Caenorhabditis elegans: one gene and its partners. The protein of the gene in region 4 interacts with the protein of the main gene of each other region in a pairwise test. Each region holds a gene or a part of one and is shown on either strand. Other genes may lie near its edges. The genes, in order: npp-2, elt-7, npp-10 and ifa-4.

Evidence for each region.
Region 1: the proteins of ifa-4 (region 4) and npp-2 interact in a two-hybrid assay, tested with the Caenorhabditis elegans proteins (one large-scale study listed by BioGRID).
Region 2: the proteins of ifa-4 (region 4) and elt-7 interact in a two-hybrid assay, tested with the Caenorhabditis elegans proteins (one large-scale study listed by BioGRID).
Region 3: the proteins of ifa-4 (region 4) and npp-10 interact in a two-hybrid assay, tested with the Caenorhabditis elegans proteins (one large-scale study listed by BioGRID).

Annotation. Positions count from the first base shown.
Region 1 is NC_003279.8:8,290,201-8,296,567, reverse strand, and holds npp-2 (Nuclear pore complex protein Nup85), read left to right. Parts: upstream 1-2,927; coding exon 2,928-3,021; intron 3,022-3,067; coding exon 3,068-3,603; intron 3,604-3,655; coding exon 3,656-3,985; intron 3,986-4,209; coding exon 4,210-4,343; intron 4,344-4,410; coding exon 4,411-5,041; intron 5,042-5,090; coding exon 5,091-5,162; 3' UTR 5,163-5,269; downstream 5,270-6,367. Other genes in the region: Meiotic spindle formation protein mei-1, read right to left, coding at 1-27, 347-1,074, 1,121-1,459, 1,510-1,686; kin-10 (Casein kinase II subunit beta), read left to right, coding at 5,754-5,771, 5,929-6,085, 6,136-6,327.
Region 2 is NC_003283.11:4,768,420-4,774,547, forward strand, and holds elt-7 (Transcription factor elt-7), read left to right. Parts: upstream 1-2,250; 5' UTR 2,251-2,294; coding exon 2,295-2,416; intron 2,417-3,294; coding exon 3,295-3,580; intron 3,581-3,633; coding exon 3,634-3,719; intron 3,720-4,364; coding exon 4,365-4,467; 3' UTR 4,468-4,667; downstream 4,668-6,128. Other genes in the region: C18G1.9 (FERM domain-containing protein), read right to left, coding at 1-380, 426-544, 1,096-1,192, 1,239-1,276. UniProt on the Caenorhabditis elegans protein: Transcriptional activator that binds to the consensus sequence 5'-[AT]GATA[AG]-3'.
Region 3 is NC_003281.10:6,012,522-6,022,116, reverse strand, and holds npp-10 (Nuclear pore complex protein Nup98), read left to right. Parts: upstream 1-2,554; 5' UTR 2,555-2,568; coding exon 2,569-2,782; intron 2,783-2,830; coding exon 2,831-3,031; intron 3,032-3,073; coding exon of another isoform or gene 3,074-3,079; coding exon 3,080-3,535; intron 3,536-3,581; coding exon 3,582-3,808; intron 3,809-3,853; coding exon 3,854-5,599; intron 5,600-5,647; coding exon 5,648-5,734; coding exon of another isoform or gene 5,735-5,749; exon of another isoform or gene 5,750-5,944; intron 5,945-6,019; coding exon 6,020-6,511; intron 6,512-6,633; coding exon 6,634-7,631; intron 7,632-7,678; coding exon 7,679-8,134; intron 8,135-8,184; coding exon 8,185-8,344; 3' UTR 8,345-8,670; downstream 8,671-9,595. Other genes in the region: Ubiquitin carboxyl-terminal hydrolase cyk-3, read right to left, coding at 1-503, 550-712, 759-1,023, 1,070-1,306, 1,356-1,472, 1,521-1,674, 1,715-1,785, 1,833-1,905; eftu-2 (Tr-type G domain-containing protein), read right to left, coding at 9,392-9,595. UniProt on the Caenorhabditis elegans protein: Nup98 and Nup96 play a role in the bidirectional transport across the nucleoporin complex (NPC). Required for the nuclear import of hcp-4 during mitotic prophase, this step is essential for centrosome assembly and resolution.
Region 4 is NC_003284.9:4,911,355-4,919,138, forward strand, and holds ifa-4 (Intermediate filament protein ifa-4), read right to left. Parts: upstream 4,626-7,784; 5' UTR 4,623-4,625; coding exon 4,532-4,622; intron 4,016-4,531; coding exon 3,732-4,015; intron 3,676-3,731; coding exon 3,391-3,675; intron 3,348-3,390; coding exon 3,252-3,347; intron 3,207-3,251; coding exon 3,093-3,206; intron 3,045-3,092; coding exon 2,871-3,044; intron 2,822-2,870; coding exon 2,533-2,821; intron 2,082-2,532; coding exon 2,002-2,081; intron 1,634-2,001; coding exon 1,358-1,633; intron 1,297-1,357; coding exon 1,258-1,296; 3' UTR 954-1,257; downstream 1-953. Other genes in the region: K05B2.2 (Ras-associating domain-containing protein), read left to right, coding at 1-222, 471-630; K05B2.4 (Acyl-coenzyme A thioesterase 1-like), read right to left, coding at 7,701-7,784.

The DNA of each region.
Region 1 (6,367 bases), on a different chromosome or scaffold from region 4:
AATGATTTGGTGTCGTATCTGAAATATCTTAAGGATTCTTAGTGTCGATTCTTGAAAAAAGTGTTGCAACATCGCGATTAGCAAAATTTTTTCAGCAAACGTACAAAATTGGCTTTTTTTTAATTATGATAATCCAACTTTTCAATCTTAAATTGATATCGAAATTTATAAAAACGGTTCATTTCATCTTAAAATGTTATTTAATTTTGTCTACAAGCGTTTAAAAACATTAAATAGTGCATGAAAGTTGCCATTTCTATACCAGTTTTTGATTCGAAATATTGGATTATCTTATTGAAACAAGCACGTTTTCCAAAAAGATTTTCTGCACATTCCTGCTACCTACCTTCTCAACACATTGATAGCAGCAGTTCTGCATAGAGACACAACATCAGCTCCTGAGAATCCTTCAGTCCTTGCCGCCAAGTCATCATAGTTAATTTCATCGGATTTCGGAGTTCCTTCCATTGATTTTTCGATAAGCTTCTTTCTTGCATCTATATCTGGCAGTGGAATGAAGATTCGCTTTTCGAAACGTCTTCGGAGTGCCTCATCGAGCTCCCATGGAATATTTGTGGCGGCCAGCACGAATACACGTCGCGAATCGAATTTATTCTGTGACCCGTCCATTTGTACCAGAAACTCGGATTTAACACGCCGACTCGCTTCGTGTTCTCCAGAATTTCCACGTTGTCCACCAAGTGTGTCAATCTCATCGATGAAGATTATGGATGGAGCATAGAACCGTGCAAGTTCGAATAACAGACGAACAATCTTCTCGGAATCACCACGCCACTTGCTGGACAGATCAGTCGAGGAAACGGTAAAAAAAGTTGAACTAGACTCTGAAGCAATCGCACGTGCGATAAGAGTCTTTCCAGTTCCAGGTGGTCCAGCGAGAACCATTGCTTTCCATGGTGAACGGAGACCCTGGAAGAATTCTGGCACCAAGAGTGGAAGAGTGACGGCTTCGTGCAGAACTTGCTTCACGTCGTGCATTCCGATTATATCATCTAAAGACATTGTATTTTCCGTATTTGTAGCCATTGTACCACGCACCGCTTGAACAATGTACTGAAAAGATTTCTGATTTTTGTTTCTGGAAAACATAATAACTTACCGCATCATAAGCCGATGCATCGAATGAATCTCCAGCACTATTTTGAGGCAGTATTCCTTGTGTTGGATTCGCAGGCTTCACATCAGCCGGATTCGTGCTCATCGACGACGTTGACTTTGATATTTCTCTGGGACGTGGACCTGCTGCTCCAACTCCTTTCTTTGTTGCTCCAAATTTCGATGAGGATGGTAACGGTGGCGATGGTTTGGACCAAACATCTGGGTCTGCAGGTGGCTCTGGACTTCCACTTTGTCGCGTCATCGCCTCGTGTAGGTCATCTTCATCGCGCACATTTTGTTGGACAAGCTTCAAATTAGCCTCTAGGGCTCGTAGGAATGTCTGAAATTTCAAATAATTCAACAAGCTTTTAAAAGATTTATATTACGTACATTTCTTGCGTCATGCTCGTCTCTGTTGCTTGCCGAAATTTTACAGCTTTTGACATCTGTCATGAGCTGACGAAGAAGATCACCAGCCTCATTCCATCGTCCGGCATCGGACATTGTTTTCGCGACTTGGGCTCGCTCCAGATATCCGCGAATGACTGACTGCACATCCCCATTCATCCTGAAAATATACTTTAATTTTTCAATAATATACACTTCTACAGACGAGAGGATGAAATTTAGTATAAGACAATGGGATTTGGCGGAGAAGAAAATGGCAAGATGATGAATGATAACGAATAGGGAAACGACGGAACGGAGTGTGCGTGGACTTTATTAGATGGGAGAAGAAGATTGTACCGTGAAGATGAATTTAATATTATTTACAGAATAAAATGGTTGAATAGAAAACGATTTTTCTTTTTTTACTTGATATTGGCTCACTTGTTGGAAACATTGAAAGAGTTTAGCCGCAAAACAACAAGTATTTACAGCGGTAGATCACACAAAAAATGATAGGTCAAAAAAAGTTTTAGGAATTAAATCCTTAGCAAAAGGCTTGAAATCTGAGATCTTTCAGCGAGATATAAATGATTAGAACCTTCTAATTGCATATCACTTGAATAAAACCAAAATTAAGCGGCGAGTTATTGATTTTTCAGAAAACAGATTTCTGCTGGTCAAACCTCAGAATTAGCTCATCCGCGACAAACAATTAATTTACACAAAGCAAAAAAAAAAAAATTGATTAATAAAGAGAAGAAACAAGAGCAGTTTGAAAAGGAAATAATTGTTTCACTTGTTTAACAAAAAAAGATCATAAAGGTATAGACGAAATTTGTGTTGTCCGGAGCCAGTTTGATTTGCACAATTATAGTGTAACTTCTTAAAAGATATCTATAGAAAGCTTTTCATAAAAAGTAAAAAAATAATTGCTCAGGGCTCCGCGGAGCTGGAGCTCCGGAAGTATGGCGCAAAAGTACAAGTGTCGTCAGTTAAAATGTCGAGTACGCAATACACCCCAGACACTGTCACGTCTGAATGCACAATCGCTTGCAATTTGAACACTTTCAATTTTCGAATTTTAGCGGAATTCCGCGGAAAACTTTTACATTTTCTTAAATATTCTTCTCATTTTTTAGGATTATTATTATTAATTGGTTTTTTAAAACTGCCGTGTAGTCCATCATTGTACTGATTCGAGATTAAACGCGTTATTTTTGTTCAAATTCCGAGAAGAAACTCAAGAAACAAAAGGAAATTTTAAACCCTATGGAATTATCAAGTTAAAACCGTAAGAAGTTTTACAGAACTCCCGGAAAAATTTTATTTATCAGAAATCTCAATTTTATAAGTTAATGTTTCTACCGTGCTTACTATATTTTTAATACCACTTCACATGACATTAGTATCTCTTTCAGATGACGGATGTCGCTCGAGAATTCGGGATAGCTGTCAGCGACTCCTCCACGGTCTTCGCCTTCCTAACAGATAAAAAAGGATTTTCAAATAAAGGTAAAAATTGCATCTTCTTCAGTTTCCAACATAAGAGATTTTTCAGAAACAGTCTTGGTCGAGAAAGTTTCACAAAATCGACAAATTCTTGCGACACCAAATCTCAGACGACTTGTTATCGAAATGTATTCTGTATTTGATAAATGTCAAAAAGGCTCCTCACCTGATGCACCTCTAGACACGCCTACTTGCTGCACATTCTCTCGAGCTTATCGTTCAGTTCTCTACAATGCCGCCGTGTCTCACAGCAGTTCCGACTTCATGACAGACTTTGCTTTGTGGTCACTTTACGAGAAATTATGGTTTGGAAGAGGTGATAGCTCGATATGTGCGGATCTTATTTCATGGGCCAATCAGAGCTTCACGTTTTCTAGAGGAGCCATGGAATCAGCTGTGGAATATCTGCATCCGGGGAAGACGATTCCAGAAGAATATTGGAAGGGAGTAGCAGTCAGCTTGCTTAGTTGCAATTTCAGCGATTGTGTTGAACTGTTGGAGCTACATGGAGGCGGATCAGAATGTGATGCATTCATTGAGGCTCTCACATTCTTCAATCCCGAAAACTTAGTCGACGAAGCATTAGTAAGACCCATTTATATAATAATTCTTAAACTTCGTAATATTCTTATTTCAGGCTAACACAGTAAATGAATGGAAGGATATCATGCGTGAAAATTTGACAAGTGGGAAGTACGGGAGCAACGAAAATTTCAAATATCTTACGAAGCTCCTACTCGGTGAGGAACGATACCTCGTATCTATGGCTTCACGGATTTTCGACACGTGGTGGCATTTTCTGCCATTCTTTGTGCTTGTCAAGAATCCATTCGCCGGACATGTCGAGCTCATTGAGCTAGCTGATGAGTGTAGAACACTATTCGTTGGAGAAGAGGAAGAGGAGGGTGCAAAGGAAAATGATGTATTCTGGTGTCTTATTTCGAAGGATGATATTAACTTTCAACAGGTTCTTGTTTTTATTCAAGAAATTAAATTAAATATAAATATCTCTTGAAAATAGGCTCACTATTTCTTTCACGATTAATTAAACGGCGACAGAACATTTCATTCAATTTTATCCCAATAAAAAAAAATCAAAATAATGTTCAAGAATATTTAACAATTTTCTTCAAAATAAATTCTAGATTGTTTTAAATAAGAATTAATTAATTTTACTGAATAAAATTTCAGTTGATTGCCTCGAATCCCTGGCTCGCAGTTCACCTGGTTGATCTTATTCACAAATCCACATTGGATCCCGAGTTTGAAGTGATGAGGAAAATGCACATGTTGGACTACGCCAGTGTTCTTATCTCTCATTCTCCGTTAGTTTTTGAAATTTCTAATTACTGAAAAAACATTTTAAAATATAACTTCACAAATTTTTTATAGTCTGTGGGAAATCGGAGCCGGATATCTTATTGCGTGTGGTACCGAAGGACTTCTACGTCTCGAAACACACATCGAAGGGCTTCACATTGAGGATGATGAGATGGCTGAGCAGTTGCTGGAAATATGTGAAGAGCATCGACTGGAAGACGCGAAAAGTTGTGTGACAAATACAATGACTTTCCGGTATCTGAAGCAAGGACATTGGAGTTCAACACTCGCTTGGGCGTTGAAAACTGGATCCAAAAAGACAATTGACTGGACAGTATCTCGAATTGTTGGTTCAAGTTCGAAGGATGAATTGGCTGCATTAAGAGTTTTATCTTCAATAACCAATCATTCTGTACTCTCACTTCCATCTCTTACCTTCCTCTACTCTTATCAACGATTTGTGAAGATGATGCACTGTGGTGATGTACTGGACTGTGTTCAACATCTGATACCGCTTATTATGATGCCTGATGTTCCAACTCAGTATTACTATGATCTCTTCGATTATTTAATCACGATTATCAAAGAGGATGGGCGTGCTGGAATCCGATTTTCCAAGGAGATTCTCTATGAGCTCTCAACCTTTTTGTCAACGTTTACGCTTGATAAACATCGAGATTTGAATGATAATTATATGAAAAAGGTAAGTTTTATAGACATTTTTATGATCATATAATTATAAATTGTTACAGGTGAAAGTGCTCAAAAAGATGGTAATGCTCAAGTTGACAGACTCGATTGCGAAAGGAATTGCGTGCTCTTGAATAATTTATGAATTAATTTTATTTTATTTACATTTGCCGATGTTCTTTTTTGTTCTGGGATCTCAGAAAATTTAATTTTTTGTATGTGAATAAGGATCACATCTCTTAATTTTTTTACTATTACTTGGTTTTCCACACAAACTCGTTGAATTTCGAGGCCAACCTACCTTCTTTTCGAGTTTTCCCCAGAGATCGATAGTGACCTATGTGCTATGCAACCGTGCCCCATTGCACGTCCACAAGGCCTCGTCAGCTCCCTCGTCCTCTTTTTTCTGTTTCGACAGAAAACTGCTGGAGTTTATGAATTTATGTGGGCGCACATGACTGTGATCTATTGATTTTCTTCTGCTTTTTTCAATAATTCTGAACCATTTCACCCAACCTGTACCCATAATTTCAGGCAGTTGTGTGCTTTGCGCGCAACTCGGCCAGTCATCGACGTGAACGCCACGGCTTCTGCTCGCTGGCGCCAACTCGATTCCACTTCGGTGAGTTATCATTAAAATATTATCAAAAAAAAATTTCTTTTGATTACAGGCAGAGTCTGGTTCGCAGTCAGAACAAAGCGCTAGTTTGTCTGGATCAGAAGTCATGAGTAGTTCGGAGGAGGTTTGTATTATATTTCTATTTTCTGCGGAAAACAATCAGAAAAATCTAAATAGCCGTTTTTTTTAATGATTTATATTTTAAACTATGAATTTAATAACAAGTTTTATGGTCGATTGGTGAAATTTATTTTTAGTTTCGAATCTTTTTTTTTGTTCAGGTATCATGGATCACATGGTTCTGTGGCCTTCGTGGAAATGAGTTTTTCTGTGAAGTCGACGAGGAATATATTCAGGATCGGTTCAATTTGACAGGTCTCAATGAGCAAGTGCCCAAGTATCGACAGGCTCTTGACATGATTCTTGACTTAGAACCAGGTGATATTTTTGCTGACTTCATGTGCCCCCGCAATGTAACCTTTTTCTAGAAGATGACATAGAGGATAACGCAACGAACACTGATCTTGTTGAACAAGCCGCTGAAATGCTTTATGGACTCATTCACGCTAGATATATTCTTACGAATAGAGGAATCTCACAGATGGTCGAAAAGTGGCGTGATCATGACTTTGGAGTTTGCCCACGTGTCTACTGTGAAAATCAGCCAATGCTTCCAATTGGTGAGTTATAAAAAAATCGCTACTTCATTGGTTGCGGATA
Region 2 (6,128 bases), on a different chromosome or scaffold from region 4:
CAATTGCCAATCTATCGAGTTTCGAGAGATACGGACTGTTTACAGCCATCGACATAGCTGTCACGAGATTGCTAATAAAGTCTCCAGAATAGCATGGGTAGTCAATCTCATGCATCTCGGGCCGCTGAACTTGAATAGCTTCTGGCACAGTGAACGTGTCTCGATGTGGTTTCTTCAAAAATTGGAAGACTGAACCACTTTCCCCTGTCTCTTCAAGATGCTTCTTTTTTAGACTTCCACTGAATCCTCGTCGTCGAGCTGCCATAGCCTTTTCGTGTGTCTCATTGCCATCAACAATTCCGTTAATAAGAACATCGAGGACGCCAAGTGGAAGATGTTGAGGTGTCAAAGGATGCGTGGGTGGGATACAGACGTTCTTGCTAAAAGATGGATTTACTTTTCGATCGCACTAAAATTTCACAAACCTCAAGAAATCGTGAGCAATCTGGACAGTGATTATTGTGCAAGCAGATGAGGGAGTCTTCCGGCCACCATATTTCGATTGAGAATAGCTCAGTGGGAGTGCCCACACGTGGACACGGTTCTGAAAATTATATTTGTTTATGTTACGGTAGTGGGTCTTTTTAGGTATCGTATCCGCAAATGTTCCTCAATTTTTCACTAAAAACACATTTTAGCGCTATGAATTTGGTGAAAGTCTAGAAATAGACGATTACGAAAACTTGTGGTGTACGGTAGCTGAAAGGTTTCAATCGTGCCGAGACCAGGTACAGTATTTCCGCGCACATATTTCTCCATTTCCCCGTACTTTTGGTTTTTTTTTTCAAAAACCCGGAGTTTTAGCGCTATTAATTGCGAAAAGTTGAGCGAAATTGCAAAAGTACAGTGTATTTGTTTCCACTTCTACGACTTCAAAAGAGGGCGCATTCATTCAAAATGGTCTCGTCACGCGCCATTCATTGATTTTTGAAGCGCGTGGCGAGACCAATGGGTGGAGCGTGGCGGGACCATTTTGAATAAATGCGCCCTCCTTTAAAGTCGTAGAAGTGGAAAAAATAAACTGTAGAGGTAATTTTGAAACACATGCGGGTACTGTAGGCACAAAGTTCCGATTATAAAAATCGGGATTCATACCTCAAACACTGCCGATCGGAAATTCGAATTAGCCATCTTATACCAATTTTCTGCAGATTCCTCATTTTGTGTGGTGTAAGTAATTTCGTGTCGAGATCTGTAGCGGTTAACTGAGAACTCGTAATTCTAATACCTTATATTACCTCCGAGTTGTACTCAATCCTGGTCTCGAGACGCACATTGGGGGTTAGTCGGTTAGTTGAGAAGCCGCGAATGCTAGTAATTTGAATAAAAATAATGAATTTAAAATCGCCTCTCACAGTTCTGAATTCTTATCTTTTTCCAAATCTACACTTTTTTTAATAGAAAAATACAGTTTACGTAAAACTACATTCCATGTTGATTTTTCAAGCATTCATTTTAAATAAATTATATGTATTTTAAAAAAAAACACGTTAGAAATAGGCTACCGATAATACAAGAATTAAATTATAAACACTATGCACTCTCACAATCAGTTTATGCCCCTTTTGCACATTACTTCAACTTAAAAAAAAATAATTGCACACTTCCTCCAGGACACAGCATTTCAACTTGGAACAAGATTTCCCATTCGCGACAAATTTGTCCAATTTGCCATTTGTTAAGCTCGGAATACTCTAAAATTTGCCTTGAGTTTAGAAGAAAGAAATGAATGAAATAACACAAAATTTTGTGAGTATCTTTAAAAAAAATTTTTTTTCCAGAATGCTACACTTTTAAAGCTTTTTCGTCAATTTTGTGATCCAAAAAATAGTTTTAAAATATCGAGATTTTCCGGGTTCGCCGACCAGGGCAAATTTGTCAAATTTGCCGGTTTTGCCGGACTCTGCAAATTTTGAGATTTGCCGCACCCCCCCCCCCTCTTTCCCATGTTTCCTTTTTTTGCTCGTCCACTGGCACACAAGGCATAGGTACATGCATCTCTGACTTACCACTAATTTACGACTATCCATAAAAGTCCCAAGTCATATTTACTTTCGTTCTCCTTCCCTTTAAGAACTTTGCCGTCCAGGTTCATAGTCATTATATCATAAACTACTAATGATGGGTGGTGAGCCACACACAGTTCCCCATCACCACCGCCGCCGGTCTATCTTATCACTCTGACCTTTTTTGTCTCTTTCTCTAGGATCTCTCCGGGCTCTTTGTTACTTTCCTGCCTGTAACAAAGACAGACATTTGTGGTTAGAGTTGTCTGCTCTAGTCGACTGGAAAAAATGCTCCCTGAAACTACTACTCTTCAACCACTTCCATCTGTTACGACTATCATGAATGAGCCGCCAGCGAGAAGTCCAATGGAGGACTATTATTTATTTAATCAATTTCAATATAATCAAAAGTAAGTTTTGAAATCAAAACTGTTTTATTGCAGTGCATAAAAATGTTGCATAATGTAATTGTATTATTTTTACGGCAAACTTAAATTGAAATATTCACTATCAACAGAATTATATGGTTTTTACATTACTACCAAAATATTACTTTCCTGTAGTAATGTATACAAAAACAACAACTTTGTTCCAACATGTGACCAAAACTATGTTTTATTGAACTCATGTAGCATAACTGATAAAAATCAATATCGAATGCTCCAAAGTATACTGCTTATAATCAGTAGTTTTCAGTGTTTTTGAGAATAGGAATCTTTGAGAATTATTATATTTTTTAAGGTTTATTATTATAATTTGAGAGTCTGAAAAACGAGTTTCATGCTGGGAATGGCTTAAAGTGTATGACTTAACATGTTTCCTGTTTGGCAATTGTAGGTAATTTCCAACTTTCTCTCAAAGTTTAACAATTTCCTACAAAGCAGTTAAAAAATTCTGTCTACCTTTCGTAACTTTCTTTCAAATGTTAACACTTTTTGCAAAATTTTTGCAACTTTCTGTCAATCTTTGGACATTTTCTGACAACTTTTTGCAACTTTCTGCCAACTTTTGATAGCTTTCTTTTAAAGTTTAACAACTTTTTGCCAACTTTTGGCATCGTCCTGCCAAGCTCTGGCAACTTTTTGACAACATTTGGCAACTTTTTTCCAACTTTTGGCAACTTCTTGCAAAACTTTTGGCAACTTTCTGACAAATTTTAACAACTTTCCGCTTAACTTTTCCTGCCAAATTTTACCAACTGCTTACAAATCTTTTGCCTAGTCTCCTGCACCACAAATGTACTACAAACTCAGCTCAGCTTGAGAGAATAAAAACTCCAACTTTTCAGTCCATATGTCTACCCACCGCAGCCCGTGTACTACAATACTTGGCAAGATGCTTCAACTCATCACTTTGATCCATTCCAGAGTTATCAAATTCCATCTCCATACGAACAACCAATTCAGTCGTCAATGTGTACTACTCCATTACAACCACTTGAAGATTCCAGAATTATTTTTGATGAAAGCTTGACGAAAAATGAAAATGAGCAAAAATCCTTTGTGGAGCAAGATAGCAGTTACGAATCATCTGGAAACCGATTTGGTTCACAGAAGGGAAAGAAAATTGCAAAAGTAGGATTCGAGGGTTTAGAATGAAATAAATATTTCTATATGAAATTTTTCAGGTAATTCGTGATGCGTGCTGCTCACACTGCTCAACAACTACAACCACACTTTGGCGTAAAAATGATGAAGGGAATCTTGAGTGCAAGTAAGTTTATATTTTATTATATTCTTTTATATTATTTCTACCAGGTGTGCGCGGCAACCGATTGTTTTTCTGGCAAGTCGGCAAATCGGCAAACCGGCAATTTGTCGATTTTCCGAATTTGCCGAAAATTTTCGGCAATTTGTGGTTTTGCACATTTTTTTTGGAAATTTCCGAATTTCAATTTTAATCGGCAAAATTGTACGCATCCTATGAATGTTCCTACATCTATTCTGAAAAGTAAGCAAGTTCTGTGAAAATATCTAAAGAAAACGGAGAAAACATTTCAAAAATGCACAGTTTTAAATGTTTCCGTCTTATAAAAAATCCCTCTAAAAACAAAAATCATCAATTCAATTTCCGAAAAATCGGCAAATTGTCGGAAATGAAAATTTCCGGCAAAATGGCAAACCGGCAATTTATCGATTTGCCAAATTTGTTGACAAAAAAATTTGCCGAATGGCACTTGCCGCCTACCCCTGAATTTTTTCGAACATTTAGAACATTTACATTCCAAATCAAAAATTCTCAGTTGAACTTGCTTATAATTTTCGATTATTTTTTAGAATTTCGAATTTAAAATTTTATTAATTTTAATGACTAGTTAAATATACATCATTAGTTCCACTATTAAAGTAATATTTTCAGTGCTTGCAACTTGTATTACCGTCACAACAAAGTGAAACGCCCGTTATCCCTCTGCAAGCAGAAGCCAACTACTCGAAAGCGGCGTCAAGCAAAAAAAGAATAGACAAGTTTGGACTGTATCGCCATTTTTCCAGCATATTACGTATCCCTCTACATCAATTGTACCGTGTTCTATGCGCTGATTTGTATTCGTTTTTTAAAAAAGATTATATATCTATGTCATCTTTTCCACTGATATTACCATATTCAAACATTTGTAATGTCAACTTCATTATTATTTTTCTTAAATAAAACGTTAGAGATACTACTTATACAAATATTGTTACAAATAATAATGTTGAAAGATTCTATGATAAGATGAGAAATTGGTGATATGTGGGATATTAATACAAAAGTGGGCTTTAATGTAGAAATTGAAACGATGAGACCAGGGACAGATGAAACCATCAATTTCTATATTCTGCCAAGCAGCCTCTAATAAATGCCGAGTGTGCAGACTCCGCCCCTCTTTCGCGTTTTTTTGGCTCGCGAAAGAAGGTAACACTACGTTTGGCTTTACAGCGTCACGAAGTTGTCCCAAAGTTGTCACAAAGTTGTCACAAAGTTGTCACGAAGTTGTCACGAAGTTGTCACGAAGTTGTCACGAAGTTGTCACGAAGTTGCCACGAAGTTGTCACGAAGTTGTCACGAAGTTGTCACGAAGTTGGCACGATGTTGTCACGAAGTTGTCACGAAGTTGTCACGAAGTTGTCTCGAAGTTGTCACGAAGTTGTCACGAAGTTGCCACGAAGTTGTCACGAAGTTGTCACGTAATTGTCACGAAGTTGTCACGTAATTGTCACGAAGTTGTCGAACACCAAAGTGCAACTGCGGCGAGCTATGGAAAAGCAAACTCAGTTACAAAGACTTCCTGGAGAACCTAATATCTAAAAATGTCCAAGTTGAGGTCAGAGAGTACAACAATAGAAGGCTAAAAAAGAGTCCCATAGGGAGGAGATGATGATTGAAGTCTCACTGAATGACGAAATTGTGGAAAAGGACTAGTGACTTGTGACCGCAGCAGATTCACCAAGCTGTGTGAGGAGAAATATGTTTTATTGCTCAGGTTTTGTGTGGAATTGTACCAATAAGATTCGAAATACGTGGGTTAAGAAAAATATTTTGTTGTTAGAGAACAATAATTTAATTTGAAAGGCTGCAGAAATTACAAAGAACACTCAAAATGAAAGGAAATTATTTAAATATGGCTTTTTGTGTTTTGGAAAAAAAAAATCCAAATGCATATTGCAAAAAATTTATTTAAGTTCTAAAGATAGAGTATCCCGAGTGATAAGTTATTTTTAAAAAACCAAAAGGTTTTCGATTTCTCAAAATTTTCATTCAAAGTTTGACCAAATATGCCAAAATTTCCTAAAATGGGAATTTTTTTCGAGAAATGTCTAGTATTTTTCGCGCAGTGTCGTTCTGTCCCTATGTATTTTGAACTTTGATCTCTGATCTTTGAACTCTCTTTATTGTAGTTGGGCAGGTTTTGGGTTGGGAGCAGGGCTGAGCAGCCGCCCAAAAAAATCGGCGATCGGCGATCGCCGATCGCCGATGGAAATTTTTTTTATCGGCAATCGGCGATCGCGGATCGCCGAAAAATCACGAAAATCGCCGATTGCCGCTCACCCCTGGTTGGGAGTTGGTGTGGGATTATGTTAAGGTGCTGTAGTAGGTACGGCAGAAAAACTGTAGGATTACTGTTAGTGAGGGATAATGCCA
Region 3 (9,595 bases), on a different chromosome or scaffold from region 4:
CGTACTTCCAGTAAAAGCTTCATTTTATTCACTTTTTTCGTTTTCCCTAGTGACGAGTATAATTGATGTAGATTTTGTGCTCCATCGTCCAAAAGTACATTTCCTTCTTCATTCTCCTTCACAACTTGCCAAAGCCTTGCGTCTCCATCTCCGAGTCGAAGTTCTGTCTTGCACAGCGCGAGAAGCTCATCCACAGTCATACTTCGTGATACTTGAGCACACGCCCAGGATGTCAAGGATCTTGGAGTGTTTTCTGTACCATCCTGGCTCTTCTTACGATCATGGCCCAGAAGGAGAATTTCGAGTGGATACAGTTCAAGAGCGGGCTTGTTGTCTTCAAAGAATTCACCATCCAGATACTTTCTTGTGAATTGTGAATCTACTGTCAGTGCACATCCGTGCCATCGGAGCCATGCTCTCCAAAGTGGAACAGGCACTCGGATGTAGTCAGATGGAATAAGATCGGGTTTCAGACGAGCTGATTCAGCTGAAATGCAAGCAACCTGAAAATTAATTAATTCTTTACTTTTCCGGACTAGAAAGTCAAACCTTGCTGGTCCAGCTATCTTCTCTTGTTCCCTTGATACCAGAATTATCGATTGGATTCGGATTTTTATCTGCTTCCAGGAAGGATCTGAGCTCAGCATGCCATCCTGAAGCTACAATGTTCCACTCGGAAAGTGGAAGCTCAGAGGCACGTTTTTCAAATTCGCTGAAATTCAAAGTTATTTAAACTGAGAATTGAAAGCTACACTAACTTCACAATTTGTAATTCCATTTTCCGTGACTCTGGTCTCAATCCGAGACAAATGTGTCCGATTTGAAGAGCCATAGAATAATATTCATTGACATATTTTTCGTTTTCCTGTGCCCATATTCCAAAATCAACGAGAGCAGATTTCCCATTCGATGATTTTGTGACAGTCTGATGTTCTTCTGGGACATTAAGATCTTTGTACATGTTAGAAAGTTCTTCGTCAGACAGAAGTTTGTCACAGTCGACGTCCCAGATTCGTGCCAACTCTAAAACAACTTTTTAGTTTCTCAAAATAATTTCTTAAAAACTCACGAGAAATTCTCCCTGGTAGAGGTCCACGACAAAGAGCCGAAAGTGTACAAACGAGCTCTCTGAAGTCAATTTGACCATCTCGATTCTCATCGAAAACAGCGAATAATCTCTCAGCATAACTATCCGGGAAGCATCCACCCAATGCTTGTTTCCACTTCTCTTCATTCAGTTTGCAGACAGCTCGATCACTGATCGTGGCGAACACTTTCTCTAACTCGATAACCTCGTTCACGGATACTGAAAAATGGTTTTTGAAATACGGAAATCAAGATAATTTAAATCTTACAATGCGTCACATAAGACATCACTTCGTAAAATGAGATATAGGAATCATTGAGCGGAATCGTAAGCTTAGGAGGACTCAATCCCCATGACGCGAACTCGTGATATTCTTCGATAAACCCTGAAAATAAATAATTTAATATTATTTCTGAAATGTTTCTTGACTGACTCGATTGTACTTCTTCTACTCTACACAATCCAACAAGAGATGAAAGCAAATTGTCAAAGGAAATGGTTTCAGCGCCATGAGAGAAGAAGCTGAACAGCAGGCGTCGTTTTTCTTCTGGTATCTGCGCGCCTCCGAGAACATGATAGCAGAATTCCTTAAATGGTGAAGTTAAAAAAATAATTAAAAACAGTTACGTCATAATTAATGCATCCATTTTTGAAGCGTTGGAAAGCTTGGCGAATTCGTCGATACTCCTCGTCCGATACTAAAAATTTGAGTTTATGTTTGTTTTGTAACATCCCTGAAACTCACTATAAGTTTTAGCATCTTCCGCACTGATAATCGGTGCGATAGCGTTCGAACGTCCAGTTAACGTGTTACCCATTTCGGATTATGGCATTTGAGCATCTGAACCAGATTTTCTTGCCGAATCTGAAAGAAAAAATGTAAAAATCAATTTATTTGAAAAGAAAAGCATTTGTAAAAGTTTTTCAGTGGAGACCGACTTTAGAACGATTATGGAAAACAGTTTATTCCAATAAACCCCACGAAAAAACACGAATTGCGGGAAAAAATAAAAGACTTGTCGAGAACTGTCAAAAACCCTCGCGCAGTGAGACAGTGTGTGAACTTAAGAGACGCAGGGTGTATAATGCAAACTCGCTCTGTTGCGATTTCAGAATCACTTCGAAAAAATTTTTGCATTCGAAATCATTTCGCTCATTTTTTCATCTCGAGTTTGGTTGTAGAAGTTGTTCTCCCATTTTTTGTGTTATTCTTGCACATTTTCAGTCATAAATATGTACCTGTAACCTGATCAATCAATCAATGTCCGTCTAGTCGCATTAGCGTGCAATTTGAGTGTAGAGTAATTCCGATTTGGAAATCCTAAAGTACATTTTCAAGTAAATGCTATCTTTTTGGTTGTATGAAAACTTGTGACAGCTCTTAGCAGAATGTTCATGACAACCGCCTTTCATTCACTGCAAATTATTACTTGCTCATCGCTTCATCTATAACCGTCTCATCAATTGCAAGTTTCAGCTAAATGTTCGGCCAGAACAAATCATTCGGCTCATCGAGTTTTGGCGGTGGCAGCTCTGGGAGCGGTCTATTTGGACAAAACAACCAGAACAATCAAAACAAAGGATTGTTTGGTCAGCCAGCCAATAACAGTGGAACTACTGGCCTTTTCGGGGCGGCACAGAACAAGCCGGCAGGATCAATCTTCGGAGCGGCCAGCAACACTTCCAGCATATTCGGTATTTTGATCAATAATTGTATGCGTTTGATTTATTTTAATATTTTAGGAAGTCCGCAGCAGCCTCAGAACAACCAGAGTTCATTGTTCGGTGGAGGGCAGAACAATGCCAACAGAAGTATCTTTGGGTCAACTTCTTCAGCAGCTCCCGCAAGCAGTTCCCTATTCGGTAACAACGCTAACAATACTGGAACCAGCAGCATTTTTGGTTCCAATAATAATGCACCATCTGGTGGAGGTCTCTTTGGAGGTAAACAATTGATTTTCGATAAATAAATTAATCTTGTATCAGCTTCAGCATCGACCGTATCTGGAACCACTGTTAAGTTTGAGCCACCGATCAGTTCTGATACTATGATGAGAAATGGGACAACTCAGACAATTTCCACGAAGCACATGTGCATTTCTGCAATGTCGAAGTACGATGGAAAGAGTATTGAAGAGCTCCGAGTGGAGGATTACATTGCAAATAGAAAGGCTCCCGGAACAGGAACGACTTCCACTGGCGGTGGGCTTTTTGGAGCATCCAACACAACAAACCAAGCTGGAAGCAGTGGGCTTTTTGGATCAAGTAATGCTCAACAGAAGACTTCTCTGTTCGGGGGAGCTTCGACGTCATCTCCATTTGGTGGGAACACGAGCACAGCAAACACTGGAAGTTCATTGTTCGGTAACAACAACGCCAACACGTCTGCTGCAAGTGGATCTCTTTTCGGAGCTAAACCAGCGGGCTCGTCACTGTTCGGATCTACAGGTAAGAATAAATCTAGCATCAACACAATTTTTAACCTTAAACTTAGCTACAACAGGAGCTTCAACATTCGGTCAGACAACTGGATCGTCTCTTTTCGGCAATCAACAACCACAGACGAATACTGGTGGATCGTTGTTCGGGAATACACAGAATCAAAATCAATCTGGGTCCCTGTTCGGCAACACGGGGACGACTGGTACCGGACTCTTCGGCCAAGCTCAGCAACAACCACAGCAACAATCGAGTGGATTCAGTTTCGGAGGTGCCCCAGCGGTGAGTTAAGATATCCTAGAATTTCAATATTTTATTAATTTTCAGGCGACAAATGCTTTCGGTCAGCCGGCTGCTGCAAACACCGGTGGAAGTCTCTTCGGAAATACTTCGACAGCCAATACTGGCAGTTCGTTATTTGGTGCGAAGCCTGCAACAAGTACCGGCTTCACATTTGGAGCCACTCAGCCAACAACTACAAATGCCTTCGGTTCCACAAATACCGGAGGTGGATTGTTTGGAAACAATGCAGCAAAGCCAGGTGGTTTGTTCGGAAATACGACGAATACTGGAACAGGCGGCGGTCTCTTTGGTTCCCAGCCACAAGCTTCTTCAGGAGGACTGTTTGGTTCAAACACTCAAGCTACACAGCCGTTGAATACTGGATTCGGAAATCTTGCTCAACCGCAAATTGTAATGCAACAACAAGTGGCCCCGGTACCTGTGATTGGCGTTACGGCTGATGTCCTCCAGATGCAAGCAAACATGAAGTCATTGAAGTCGCAGTTGACAAATGCGCCGTATGGTGATTCACCACTACTCAAATACAATGCGAATCCAGAAATTGATGGGAAGTCTTCGCCGGCTAGTACTCAACGACAGCTGAGATTCCTTGCTGCGAAGAAAGGCGCTCTGTCATCGTCTTCTGATGCACAAGATTCGTCGTTTATCATTCCACCAATCAGCAAAGTGATGAGTGATCTTTCTCCAGCAGTTACCAGGTCAGCCGATGTCACCAAAGATTTGAACTACACTTCCAAAGAAGCGCCACCATCACTTGCTCGCGGACTTCGAAACAGCACATTCAATCCGAATATGTCGCTGACAAATCGAAGTGTTCACGAATCAAGTGCCCTCGACAAAACTATCGACTCAGCTCTGGATGCTTCCATGAATGGAACTTCAAATCGTCTTGGAGTTCGTGGATCCGTGAGAAGATCGAATTTGAAGCAGTTGGACATGTCTCTGCTCGCAGATTCTTCGAGAGTTGGAAGAGAATCCCGTGTAGCTGATCCAGATGCTCTTCCTCGAATCTCTGAATCCGAAAGACGTCAAGACGTTGTCACTTCCACTCCAGCAGTTGACCCCGTTCAGGCTGTAATCCAGAGACATAATGACAGAAATAGAGATCCACCATCGTTGAACTTGGATACGACATGCGATGAGCACACTGGCTTGGAGCCGGTGTCTGCTGCAACTAGTTCAGCAGCATCTGTTGTGTCGACGCCTTCTGAAGAAACTGTTAATGTCAATTCGGCAGCAGGAGTGAAGCTTACAAAGCCCGACTACTTTTCTCTTCCGACAATCAATGAGATGAAGAACATGATCAAGAACGGACGTGTTGTGTTGGAGGATGGATTGACAGTTGGAAGATCGTCGTACGGAAGTGTCTACTGGCCAGGACGAGTCGAGCTGAAAGATGTTGCTCTCGACGAGATTGTTGTATTTCGTCATCGCGAGGTGACGGTTTATCCGAATGAAGAAGAGAAAGCTCCAGAAGGTCAAGAACTGAATAGGCCAGCAGAAGTGACACTCGAAAGAGTATGGTACACTGATAAGAAGACCAAGAAAGAAGTGCGAGATGTCGTGAAACTCTCCGAGATTGGTTGGCGCGAGCATCTCGAGAGACAAACGATTCGGATGGGAGCCGCATTCAAAGATTTTCGTGCAGAAACTGGAAGCTGGGTCTTCCGTGTGGACCATTTCAGCAAGTATGGATTGGCCGACGATGATGAGCCAATGGATGGGTCCCCTCCACAGCAAGCACTACAGGCATCTTCTCCATTACAAGTGGTAAATTTTTAAAACTCATTTTACCCTTTTACACAAATAGTTTTCCAGATCGACATGAATACATCTGCTCGAGACGTGAACAATCAAGTGCAAAGAAAGAAGGTGCACAAGGCAACGGATGCTCACCATCAAGAGGTCCGTTTTGAATGATTGTCACTCACTATAATTCAATCATCACCGTATTTTAATTTTCCTTCTAAACGTTTTGCTGTTTCATTTAAAAATTTTCTGCTTTCATTCTTAGCATTTCACATGACTGCTTGCCAATACCATCTAGGGCAGGCTAAAGACTCAAATTATTCTCGTTTATTCTTTTCTAACTCAATAAATTTGTTTTTAAAATTAGCCTCTTCAAATGGTATTGGTAGACAGACCGTTTAGGGTTTAATATGGAGAGCCATCAGCAGTTATTTGTTTCAGATAATTCTGGAACGAGTTCCGGCACCTGCTGCATTAGGTGATGTTGTGCCGATCATTCGTCGTGTTAACCGAAAAGGTCTTGGTGGTGGAACATTGGATGATAGTCGAGAAGAATCATGCATCGGAAATATGACCACCGAATTCAATGAAAGTGGTCATGATTCAATTATTGAAGAAGGTCAGCAGCCGGAAAAGAAGCCGAAACTTGAACTTCTCGCTGATTTGGAATACGAAAGCAGTCGATTCATTCGCAATCTCCAGGAACTGAAAGTCATGCCGAAGGCCAACGACCCAGCTCATCGGTTCCACGGTGGTGGACACTCTGCTAAAATGATTGGATATGGAAAGAGCAAACTGATTGATATAGGAATTGTGAAGGGAAGAAGTTCACATGTCGGATGGAGTGAAACTGGATGTCTTGTGTGGTCAGCTCAACCCCGACACAATCAAGTACTCTTTGGGACAATTGATAGAACATCGGACGTGAATGAGGTAATATTTGTGACTTTATAAAAGCCCTTCTGTGATTTACAGTCTATTTGTCAATTGGATTTCTAAGTACTTTTTTACACCGTTCTCTTCTATGGCCCATTTTTAATTTAATCAATTTTCAGAACACGCTAATCTCAATGCTTGATGTGAATGTTCATGTATCTGAAACCAGTCGCAAGGGTCCATCTTCACAATCCAACTCGGTTAAATCTTCGCTCACTTCTAACTTCGTCACTTATTCTGACTCATATTCATCCATGTTTGCCAAGTACATCGATGTCGCTCAAGCTGGTGGATATGATGGACATGTTTCTGTTTGGAAGTTGATATCTGCTCTATTCCCATATGAACGTCGAGAAGGATGGTCTTTCGAGCGTGGTGAAGAAATTGGAGAATGGCTTAGAACAGAAGCAGTGAAGTCTGTTCCAGACGATAGAAGTGCGGATACATCTTCAAATGGTGTTTGGAATCAACTCTGTCTTGGAGACATCGATAAAGCTTTTCAAATTGCGATTGATAATAATCAGCCACAGCTTGCTACGATGCTTCAGACTTCTGCTGTGTGCCCAGAAGCTACTGTTCATTGCTTTAAAGCACAACTTGACAACTGGAAGAAATGCGAAACTCTTCATTTGATTCCGAAGGAAACTCTCAAATGCTATGTTCTGATGTCAGGACTATCACACTACGAATGGGATCAAGACGGAAAGAATCATTCGATCAACTGTCTTGATGGACTCAATTGGATTCAAGCACTCGGTTTGCATGTCTGGTATCTTCGTGCATGGACTGGTCTAGAAGAATCTTACGATGCTTATCAGAAAGATGTCAATGCTGGCCGTGCCGCTTCTAATCGTGGAGATCTGCCCGGAGAACTCATCAAATTGGCATGTGAATCACAGCACTCAGTGGAAGTTGTACTTGACTGTGCAGCTGGAGAAAATCCCAACGATTATTTCCTTCAATGGCACGTATGGAGCTTGCTCTATTCGGTTGGATACCGTACAATGTCAAAGACTTCGGAAACAAGACTTCACAGAAACTATTCATCTCAATTGGAAGCATCAAGTCTCTCAAAATATGCATTGTTTGTTTTGCAGCACATTGATGATGATGAAGAGTGAGTTGAATTTTAGAATCTTTCAATTTATAAATATATTTATCCAGAAGATCAACAGCAGTTCGTTCCCTCCTCGACCGTATTGCTCGTTTCACCGACAATGATATGTTTGATTCTATTTCCGAACAGTTCGATATTCCTTCGGAATGGATTGCTGATGCTCAATTCTCAATTGCAAAGTCAGTCGATGATTCTACCCAACTTTTCGAATTGGCTGTGGCTGCAAAGAACTATCTGGAAATTTGTCGCTTATTTGTGGATGATATTGCACCAACTGCAGTTGTAGCTGGAGATCATGACGCTCTCAAAGCAGCATGCGCGATGGTTCGTCCTTTCGAAAATCAGATTCCCGAGTGGGGTGCGACTGGAATGGTCTACACTGATTATTGCCGATTGATCAATTTGATCGAAAATGATGCGGAAGAAGAACTCTTACAGGACGTGCTTGAAAGTCTGGAAACTCGTCTACATGCTCCTACAATCAGCAAGAACAGTCTTCAAAAGTAAGCTATTGGGACATAAGTTTTTTTTAAAACTATTTATATAATTTCAGGCTCTCTCTTCAAACAATTGGACGTGTTTTGTTCGAGTACCGTGCTGATAAGAATACACTTCCAGAGTGGACAAAGCTTCTCGGACATCGGCAAATGTTTAAGATCTTCCGTGATCGTTCGTCTTGGGGAATCGAAAGATTCACAATTGAATTTGACTAGACTAGCCACTTTTTAATTTATTCATTTTTCACCTGATTCTAATTTTATTTTTTTTATTTACATTTTCCTGCCCTCTCCGTCTGTCTTCCTCGTATATCATCATTTCCCGAATCGTCTTTTTATTACTATGAATATGAACTTTTTGTAGGATGTTATTACTGTTGTGTTCTATTCACATGAGAAAACTAGTACAGAAATTTAGAAATCAGCAAAACGATAAATTGAGTACTCGAATTTAATTTAAAATTCAATTTCCGACCACGCGATGATGTTAATCTAGTACATCTTGATAAAAGTTGCTAAATAAATGGAAAGTTTTCTTGAATAATTCAGTCTGGCGGATTTAGCCAGTAGGAATGATCGTTTCTTAATTGGAGTGGTTCGCTTCGTTTTACGAGGTAGAGCAATTCGGGAGGCCCCACGAAAAGGGGAGCAGAACGAAAAGGGGATCTGCAAAAAGGGGATCTGCGAAAAGGGGAGATACGAAAAGGGGAGCAACGAAAAGGGGATCTGGCACTGTGCCAAACGCTATTTTCCTCGAAGAAAACGATACAACGATGCTCCGATGTTACGCGTCGCGTGTTGTTAAGCGTATCTTCTAGAAGAAAATTTCAAAAATCAACGTGCGCTGCGTGAGAAAAATTGCGTTTTGTGCGTTTGGCACAGTGCCAGCTCCCCTTTTCGTTGCTCCCCTTTTCGCAGATCCCCTTTTTGCAGATCCCCTTTTCGTTCTGCTCCCCTTTTCGTGGGGCCTCCAATTCGGTTATAGCTTATGCTTAGACTTAAAATTAAGCGTAGGCTTATGTTGATCTTCAGTTTTTTTTTTTTCAAAAAAGTTGTCCAAGAGTAATACCTTCAACGGACATTCAGCTTGTTTGACGAAACTAAGAGAATTCAATTTTGGTCCCTGCTCTGAATATCATTTGATAGATAGATAAACAAGAATTTTCATTTTACTATTGTGATCAAACAACTCAATGAAACGGGAAAGAACACTGAAAGATAAAAAGTGTGAAACAATGAGAAAATAAGTTAGGAAATCGCAATTTAGAATCCAGTATAATCTTGCTGCTTTGCAAGTTCGAGAAGCATCGGATCATCGAAGAACTTGTTAACGGAGACATCTTCAGACAAACCCTTGCGTCTTCTGGTCTTGATCATGAACTCTCTGGCGAGATGTGGAGTTGGCTGGACGTCGAGAGTCTTGATAACAATGGATTTATCGAGTGGATCTCCTGGTACGAGTTGCCA
Region 4 (7,784 bases):
GAAAAAGTTGTCGGAAACGATGAATCAACAAGAAGTCGCCGAGTATCTTGTGCAGGAGGAAGAGCTTCGTCAACTGCTTAAGCAACAGAAAAATTTGCGAGCAATTCTGAAGCCGATGATCGCTGCAAACTGGCCGCAACAATACCAACTTGAGCTCAAGAAATCGCACAAGCTGAAGGCTTCGCTAGCAGCTACAAAAGAAGCAATCAACAAGACTAGAAGGTAAGATCTTTGAACTTTGAACTATGCCAGACAAAAGAGACCCCGGAAATTATGATGATCATATCGATCCACGTGATTGTGACCACGTCGTCCTTTATCTATTGACATTGAGAGTGTTCGGCTGATTGCCTTATCAAGGACGTCACGTCGACCAAATGTATTCAAAATTCTGCAACTTGGACCACAAAATTGACAAACGAAATGCACTTTAGAAGAACTGTTTGTTTAATTGTTTTTTTAAATTTCAGTGACATCTTGCGCGTCGAAGAAACCGAAAAAGACTTGATGAAGAAGTTGGCCGAGTTCAAGAAGCAAGATGAGAATGGAGATGAGAATTCAGAAGTCTTGGAGACATCTTTCGACTTGGGATGTTCAGGGACCTCCACCCCACTAACTGTCATTGCCTGAGCTCCTTACTTTCAAAATTTTAGCGTTCATGTTATCTGTGTATTTTTGTCGATCCACGTGTCAAGCTATCGGCTTTATCCCACTTCAGTTATTTCAAGTTTTTCCCTCTCACAAACCCCCACTCAAGAATTGGCTTCATTCCTTACCGCATTATTCAATCATCAGACTCTGGAAAGTTTACATTTTCCCACGAATCACTTTTTTCTGTATTTGTTTCTATATGTCATTTCTCCTTACTTTCCCTGTGCATTTACCCATTTCTATTCCCCCAGTTGTCCAACAAAAAGTTCCCAAAAAAATAACCAAGCAAACTGATCAGAAATAAAATAAGCAGTTTATAGTTTACAAATGTTAATTGATGGAAAAAGCACATGGTAAAGCAATGGAAATGTTAGAGAGTTAGCCAAAAAATGAAAGGCTTTTCGTATGATATGAAACGAAAATCAATGTTTCACTTTGGCGGTTCAAAACAGTATTGGTTTATTCTGAAAATCCGAACATTTATAGGAATGGCTAACGGTGAGAACAAATGTATCTTGGGTCAAGATTCGATCAAACATTAAAAGTAGAGAGTTGAGGCAAGCGAGAGTAATTCCGGGTTCAATAGGATTTAATTGGTTGATGCAATTAGGTGTGTGAAGCACGTTGGCTGTGGGAAGCACGGTCCTGAAACAAGATAAATAACGTTTCCAGTCAGTTCCAGCGCGCATAATTTATTGACGCTTACCTCTCCTTCTTTGTTGTAGAGAGTAGTAACGACGTCGTTTCCGGTGCCGAACGAGTCTTCGAGGTCGTACACAAGACTATCGGGTGGGGAATGAACTCCCTGCCCACGTGCGAAAATTTTCACGCTCTTTTGAGCACGAAGGGTGAACTCGCGCGGGAAGGTGAACACGATTTCGCGTTTTCCGGCAATCTTCCGACGGAGTTTCCAGTCTCCGATGTTCTCATCACGTCTTGAGATGTTCTCCAGTACAATGTACTTTCCAGATGGCTCGGCTTCCTGAAAATGGTGGATTTTTTTCTTGCAAAAATGAAAAATCGAAAACACTGTTTTCAGAAATTTGGGCACGGCCACTTTAAGGAAAGTTTTTGTTCAGCATGATCCGACATATATTTGGTTTTGCACAGGACTAGGTTCTGAGTGAGCAGCGAACCCGGTTAATGTCGGATCATGCAAAATCGTCACACCAGGCACATATTTCTAAATTTTGTGCACGGCCATTTTGAAGAATAGTCATTTTCTGAAGTGTTCAGTGGAAATTGCAGGCAAAAACTCGCTCAAAAAATGTCCATGATTGCTTTCAAAATTTTGCTATAATTGTTTTTTTCAGAATATACATCAATTTTTGGGATGTAATTTCCACTCACCTGAATTGCAATATTTCCTTTTGCTGATCTGGAATACGACGAATGACTAGTCGTTTCACCTTTGAGAACTCGAAGACTCTCTGCAACAAAACACAAAAACTGATATAAATTTGCAACTAACAATGCCTCGTGACACCTATTACTCCTATTAATCTTACCGTGCGGCTTTCTGCGAATTTTATCACCGACAAGGTAATGGGTATGGGGAACGTCGTCAAAAGTGATAGTCTCGTATTGAGAACAATGAATTTCTGGCATGTTACTTTTTTGGGTTAAAGATGAAACAATGCTGTTCCAAATCAAAAGTAAAGCGATTAAATAGGAGTACTAAATTGACCAAGGTATATCAACAAGGGGACACACCCAGCGGTCTCTCTGGGCGGAAAACAATAATAAAGTTACGTTACACAGTTTGGTGACCGCATGACTTGAAAACTTGAAACAAGTTATCAGTGGACGTATACTTTAAATTTTAACCGTAATTTGTGGTCATCGTAACGTGAAGTAAACATTGAGTATACGCGAACCTACCAATTTCCTTGGTTTGATGAATAGATGTTGTCTTAACAACCTGCTCGACGAGCTGACGTAGACCTGCGCGATTCTCTTCTCCATCAAGCATCTTACGGTAGATCACAATTTCAGCATCGAGAGTCTGTTTTGTATCAATGAGCATTTGAAGCTCAACCATCAGGATCTTGCTCTCGTCACGAAGTTTGTTGATCGATGTGTCCTTATCGTTCAGTGATTGTTCATATGATCTCATATCCTCTTCCATCTGGTAGTTGAGGTCTTCGATTTGTTTTTCGAGGAGAAGATTCTGAAATGTTGACAAATAATATCAGATGTATATAGTCATCAAAACGAACTCTTCCTTCTAGATCCGCCATCTTTCCACGCATATCACCAAGTGTTGTGCGGAGTCTCTTAACTTCCTCGCGAGCATAATTCTGCTCCAAGCAGTTGCGAGAATTTTGAGTGTGAATTTCTTGAACCTTCAGCTTGTACCAAGACTCGATGTCAGTACGGGTAGTGTTGCTCACCTGTAATTCAAGTCTCTATTTTTTACCTCTTTTAATGACTTTTCTCACATGATCATATTCGCTTCTGATCTCACGAATAGCAGAGGATAACTCATTCTTGAAATATTCGCGGTTTTCCACCGTAGTATCACGAGATGCCATAGCGAGAAGATCGTGGATTTCCTGAAAAAGACACTCGTTGAAAGCTGTACTAATTGTTTTTCATACCGAATCATGAATTCTGCGAATGAAATCACACTCCTCCAGTAGTGTCTGCACTTGATTTTGATAATCGATGCGGTTCAGAGTTTCTTGTTCCACAGCCTGAAAGCTGTACATATAAATTAAGTTTTCTACTGAAACTTACATTTCTGGCATGATGAAGTGAGTCGATCATACGATGATTTTCGCGCTTCAAATGACCGATGCTTTCTTCCATCAGAGAAATTCTTCTTTTCAATAGCTCAATCTCGGCTTCCAATGCTCCAAGTCTTCCGAGCACATTGTCAAGCTCTTTACGTGTAACGTCAGCACCTCTTTCAGCCTCATGAAGTTTGTTTCTATAGTTGTTCAGCTCTTCAACAAGTTTCTTAATTTGATCTTCTAGCTGAGCTCTTTCTTTGTCAGAATCGGCGATCAGGTCTTTCGCACTCTGAACAGAATTTAAAGTTTCTCAGATTTTGCTGTATATAATATTCATTCACTTACTCTGAGCTCAGTCTCATACATAACTTTAACACTTGTAGAATCGTGTCCCCATTTTCCACGGAGCAAATTCAAGTCCTTCTCCATCTTGCGATTTTGAGCCTCCAAGAATCGAACTTTCTCAATGTAGCTCGCCAGGCGGTCATTGAGTTCACTCATTTCTTTTTTCTCGCGAGTACGAGATTCACGAATGGCAGAGGCGGCATGGCCTCCGAATGGAGACATGCCTGATGTTAGATTAGATCCACCGATCTCTGTGATCTTGAGTGTGCGGCTAGTTCCAGAAGCTGAAATTTGAATTTTTGGAAGTCAGTTTTTGTAGTTTGAAGTAGTTTTTAAACGTGTATCAGAACTGAAAAATAACACTTGACAAACATGACCATAAAACAAAAAAAATTTGTAGGTTTTCCAGAGGAATCAATTCATTAATGTTAATAATTTTTTAACACTTTTTAAATTTTTATTTTTAACTTTACAGTCAAAAAAGTTCACTTAATCATTTTTCACCAATCATAATTTTGGTAGTGAGACAATAAAACATTCCACAAGTTTTTTCTTTTAATTGAATTTTAATTGATTTTATTTGTACATTTTGAAAGTTCAGATCAGCAAAAATGTTCAAAACTTCTCAAAAGGTCAGGGTTGTTGTTTGAACGTTTGGCATATTGCCAATTGAATATTGTAAAACATAAATTAAAACATTTGGAGGGTTTAATTTTAATATAAATCATATAATACATCATATAATACAATTTTAAAGACAAAGTACTGCTCATATTCAAAATATTCATCTGAAAACTCACAAATAGTACTTCCATAGGTGGCGGTGGATTGCATTGTTCTGTTAAACGTTGGTCGAACCGAAATTGAGCTTCGGTATTCGCTCTCCGACATTTCCTACAAACATGGAAACTTAAATAGTTTTCAATTAATTGCATTTTCATAATCGAAAATTAAAAAAAAAACACAGCGAACTATTTTTCGATGAAAAAGTGTAGAAAAGTTACCTCATAGTAAATGACGTTATACATATGTGACAAGAATATGAGTGAATATGACACAGATTAGAGATGGATCGTTTGTAGGACACAATGACAATGCGCGAGATCTATTAGCTGTTTCGAGAGCCCTAACTCTTGACAGAACAAAAAACCGTGTTACAAATTGGCGCGCGCACTATTTATTTTGACGGGACTTGGCATGCGTGGAAAGAGGATGCCTAGGAGGGTTTACTCCTAATTGTCTGTATAGTCAAATTATAGAAGGAAAAAACCAGGCATGAAACAGAAAATGAAACAGAAACTAAAAACTGGGAGAGTGTAACGGTTCATCGAGCTATTGACGAACGCGCACTGACCGCTATTCAAAAGCGGACGGCGGTGGCGACGGCGATTCGGTGACCGATTACTAGATGCTAGCTGCCGTCATGGCGTGTTTATACACAATGCTACTGTTTCACAACGTTTCCATATTCATGAGTATTAAAGGATCGTAAACACCTTATATTATTCTGAATTGTTTTGGTTGTGAAGGGATGACAAAAGATAAGCACGTCAAAACTAAAATCGAAAAATGGAAAAATTTTTAGTATGCGATAAGGGGAGGATAATGGGAATACAAATTGACAAAAATAAGTTCAGAGCATCGAAACTGCGTGTTCTAAAATTTAGGTGAAATGTTTACGACTTGTTAAAAATTCAATGTTCAAAAGGGTCTTAATCTATAATTCTGAAATTTATTTGATTGTGTCTATCTCAGAAACTATTAGCGTTGGGAAAAAGTTCAATAAATAAAATTTAGCTGATTATATTGTCTACAGGTTCAGATTGTTTCAAATCTGCACCCCGCGATCTCGTTCTTAGATAAATCGGCCGACATCTTACAAGTCAGCCTTTGATTATGGTTCGTGATTTACTTGTACAGCCAAAATAACAATTATTAATGAAATTGTTTGTATACAAGTTCATTTTAAAACTGCCAAAAAATTGAAGTTAAACATTTAAAATAAAAACAACACTGAAAAAAAAACTCACGGCAAACGGTCTTCTTTAAAACGGAATTTAAAATTAAAACTTCCCTTAAAATTCAAATCTACATAAAATGTTCTGAAACATAATGCTAAGATGTCTGTTGATTAATGAAACTTATGATTTGTATAAAATAAATTGCATTATCATCAGGAAAAGAGTCATTTTTTCAGTACATGCGAACTTTATTAATTAAGAAACTAGAAAAAAAAACAAACTTTCCTTTTTTGTTTTTAAGTATTATACTAACGTTTAAAAGGAAGGTTGCATTGGAAAAATAGAACCAGTGTCATTTTTAAAAAAGCTCAGTTACAGTACTCCCTTTTAAGGAGACCGTGTCGGACAAACAAACCGTAGGTGTTGCCTGAAATATATATGCAAAATAACACGGAGGCGGAGCTGTTGCCTTCATGTACACAAACGAAACTCGGCCTGTAAAATCAGGGAGAGAAGAAAAAATGGGCGAAAAGGGCGGATTGATAGCGGGTATCAAAACAAACATTTGCATTTTGAGAGTCTCTTTTTAAACATTTTTTTACTTTTTTGCTTTACAATTGCGGGAGGGGGAGGTAGGGAAATAACATATTTGTTGGGTAGTGCATATGAGTCAAAAATTGCACGCAGGTGAAATAGTAAAAATTGAATTTTGGTGAGATTTAAATGAAAATTAAACTAACAACACACGTATTACTAATTCAACAACGTTTATTTGAAATGGAAATTATTTCTTAATGCGTCTTTAGCTTTTAATTGGTATTTTCTACTTACACTGGCAATTTTGCAATTTTTGTAAAATGAGCAACGCCACATCGCAAACTATCCGTATAAAATGGCACAAGACCGAAATTCATAATAAAAGTGGTATTTTTTGTTGTATTTTCCAAGAACGTTGACTAAATTGCTTAATTCTTCTGGTGCATTTTGGTTAATCATAACGCGTTTTTATGTCAACTAATTATTTTTTAATTTTCAATTATCTAATTTTTCTAATTTTTATCTATCATTATAATTAATCTAATTTTTAATTAGTAAGGTATGTTTTCAATTGATATTTAATTAAACACAGGTATGCGTTGCAAATATGCTAAATTATTAATAATTCAATAAAACCTAATGTCCTAAAACACGTATAAGTTGGAGAATTTTAGCGAAATTTAGCCTTTTGTCAAATTTTCAATTATAAAAAGTGCACGAGAAGGTTTAGGAAAGTTACAGTACTAGTGATTTCATTCTATATACTCAAATACAAAGCAACGCAAGTTTTTGATCTATGTAGACAATAAGCTTGGGGATAAACTACGTCGTCTGCAACGTATTAAAAACACATAAATAACAACTGGAAACTTTGCGAATCCATATATAATGTGAAAATTCAGCGTTTCGCTTCTAATAAAGAGTATGACAGTTTTTCGGGACAGATGCTAACATTTCTTGAAAAGTTAAACCGCGCCCGTAAACTGATTACAGTTCATATCCTATTCAGGGGTATCGGTTCGGAACGTAAAAACAGGTTATGTATTTTGTATTCTGAATATTTTTCATAAGAACTGACTAAGCCGTTTCGGTGCGCTCAACGTGCGGATTACAGTGTACCAATACACATATTGCAATACGACTCCCTTTGTTGTTGTCGTTCTGCATAATTATTCATGGAACGCGTAGGTTGAAGGCGATAATGATGTATCATTTGTACCTATTGCGGGTGGGGGACAATAACTTCACAATATGTATGTCTCTTTTCAATTTTGATTGTGACTCACCGGCAACCATCTCAAACGTTTATCAATTTGTCGTCGAACGCAATTTCAGATGCTTTTTTCGCTTTTTTTGTGTTCGAAATGATTGGAATTTCATTTCGACATACAAAGAGAGTATTTATATTCAAATCAATTTTTTGTAAGTAAAGAAATGGAGAGATGATTTTATTTGCACAGAGAAATGAAGTTCAAAGTTTTGCCAAATGTCTCGAATAGTCAGGAAGAGGAGTTGGCGCGCCGAGGTGTTCGGAGAAAAATTGGACAGTTTTTTC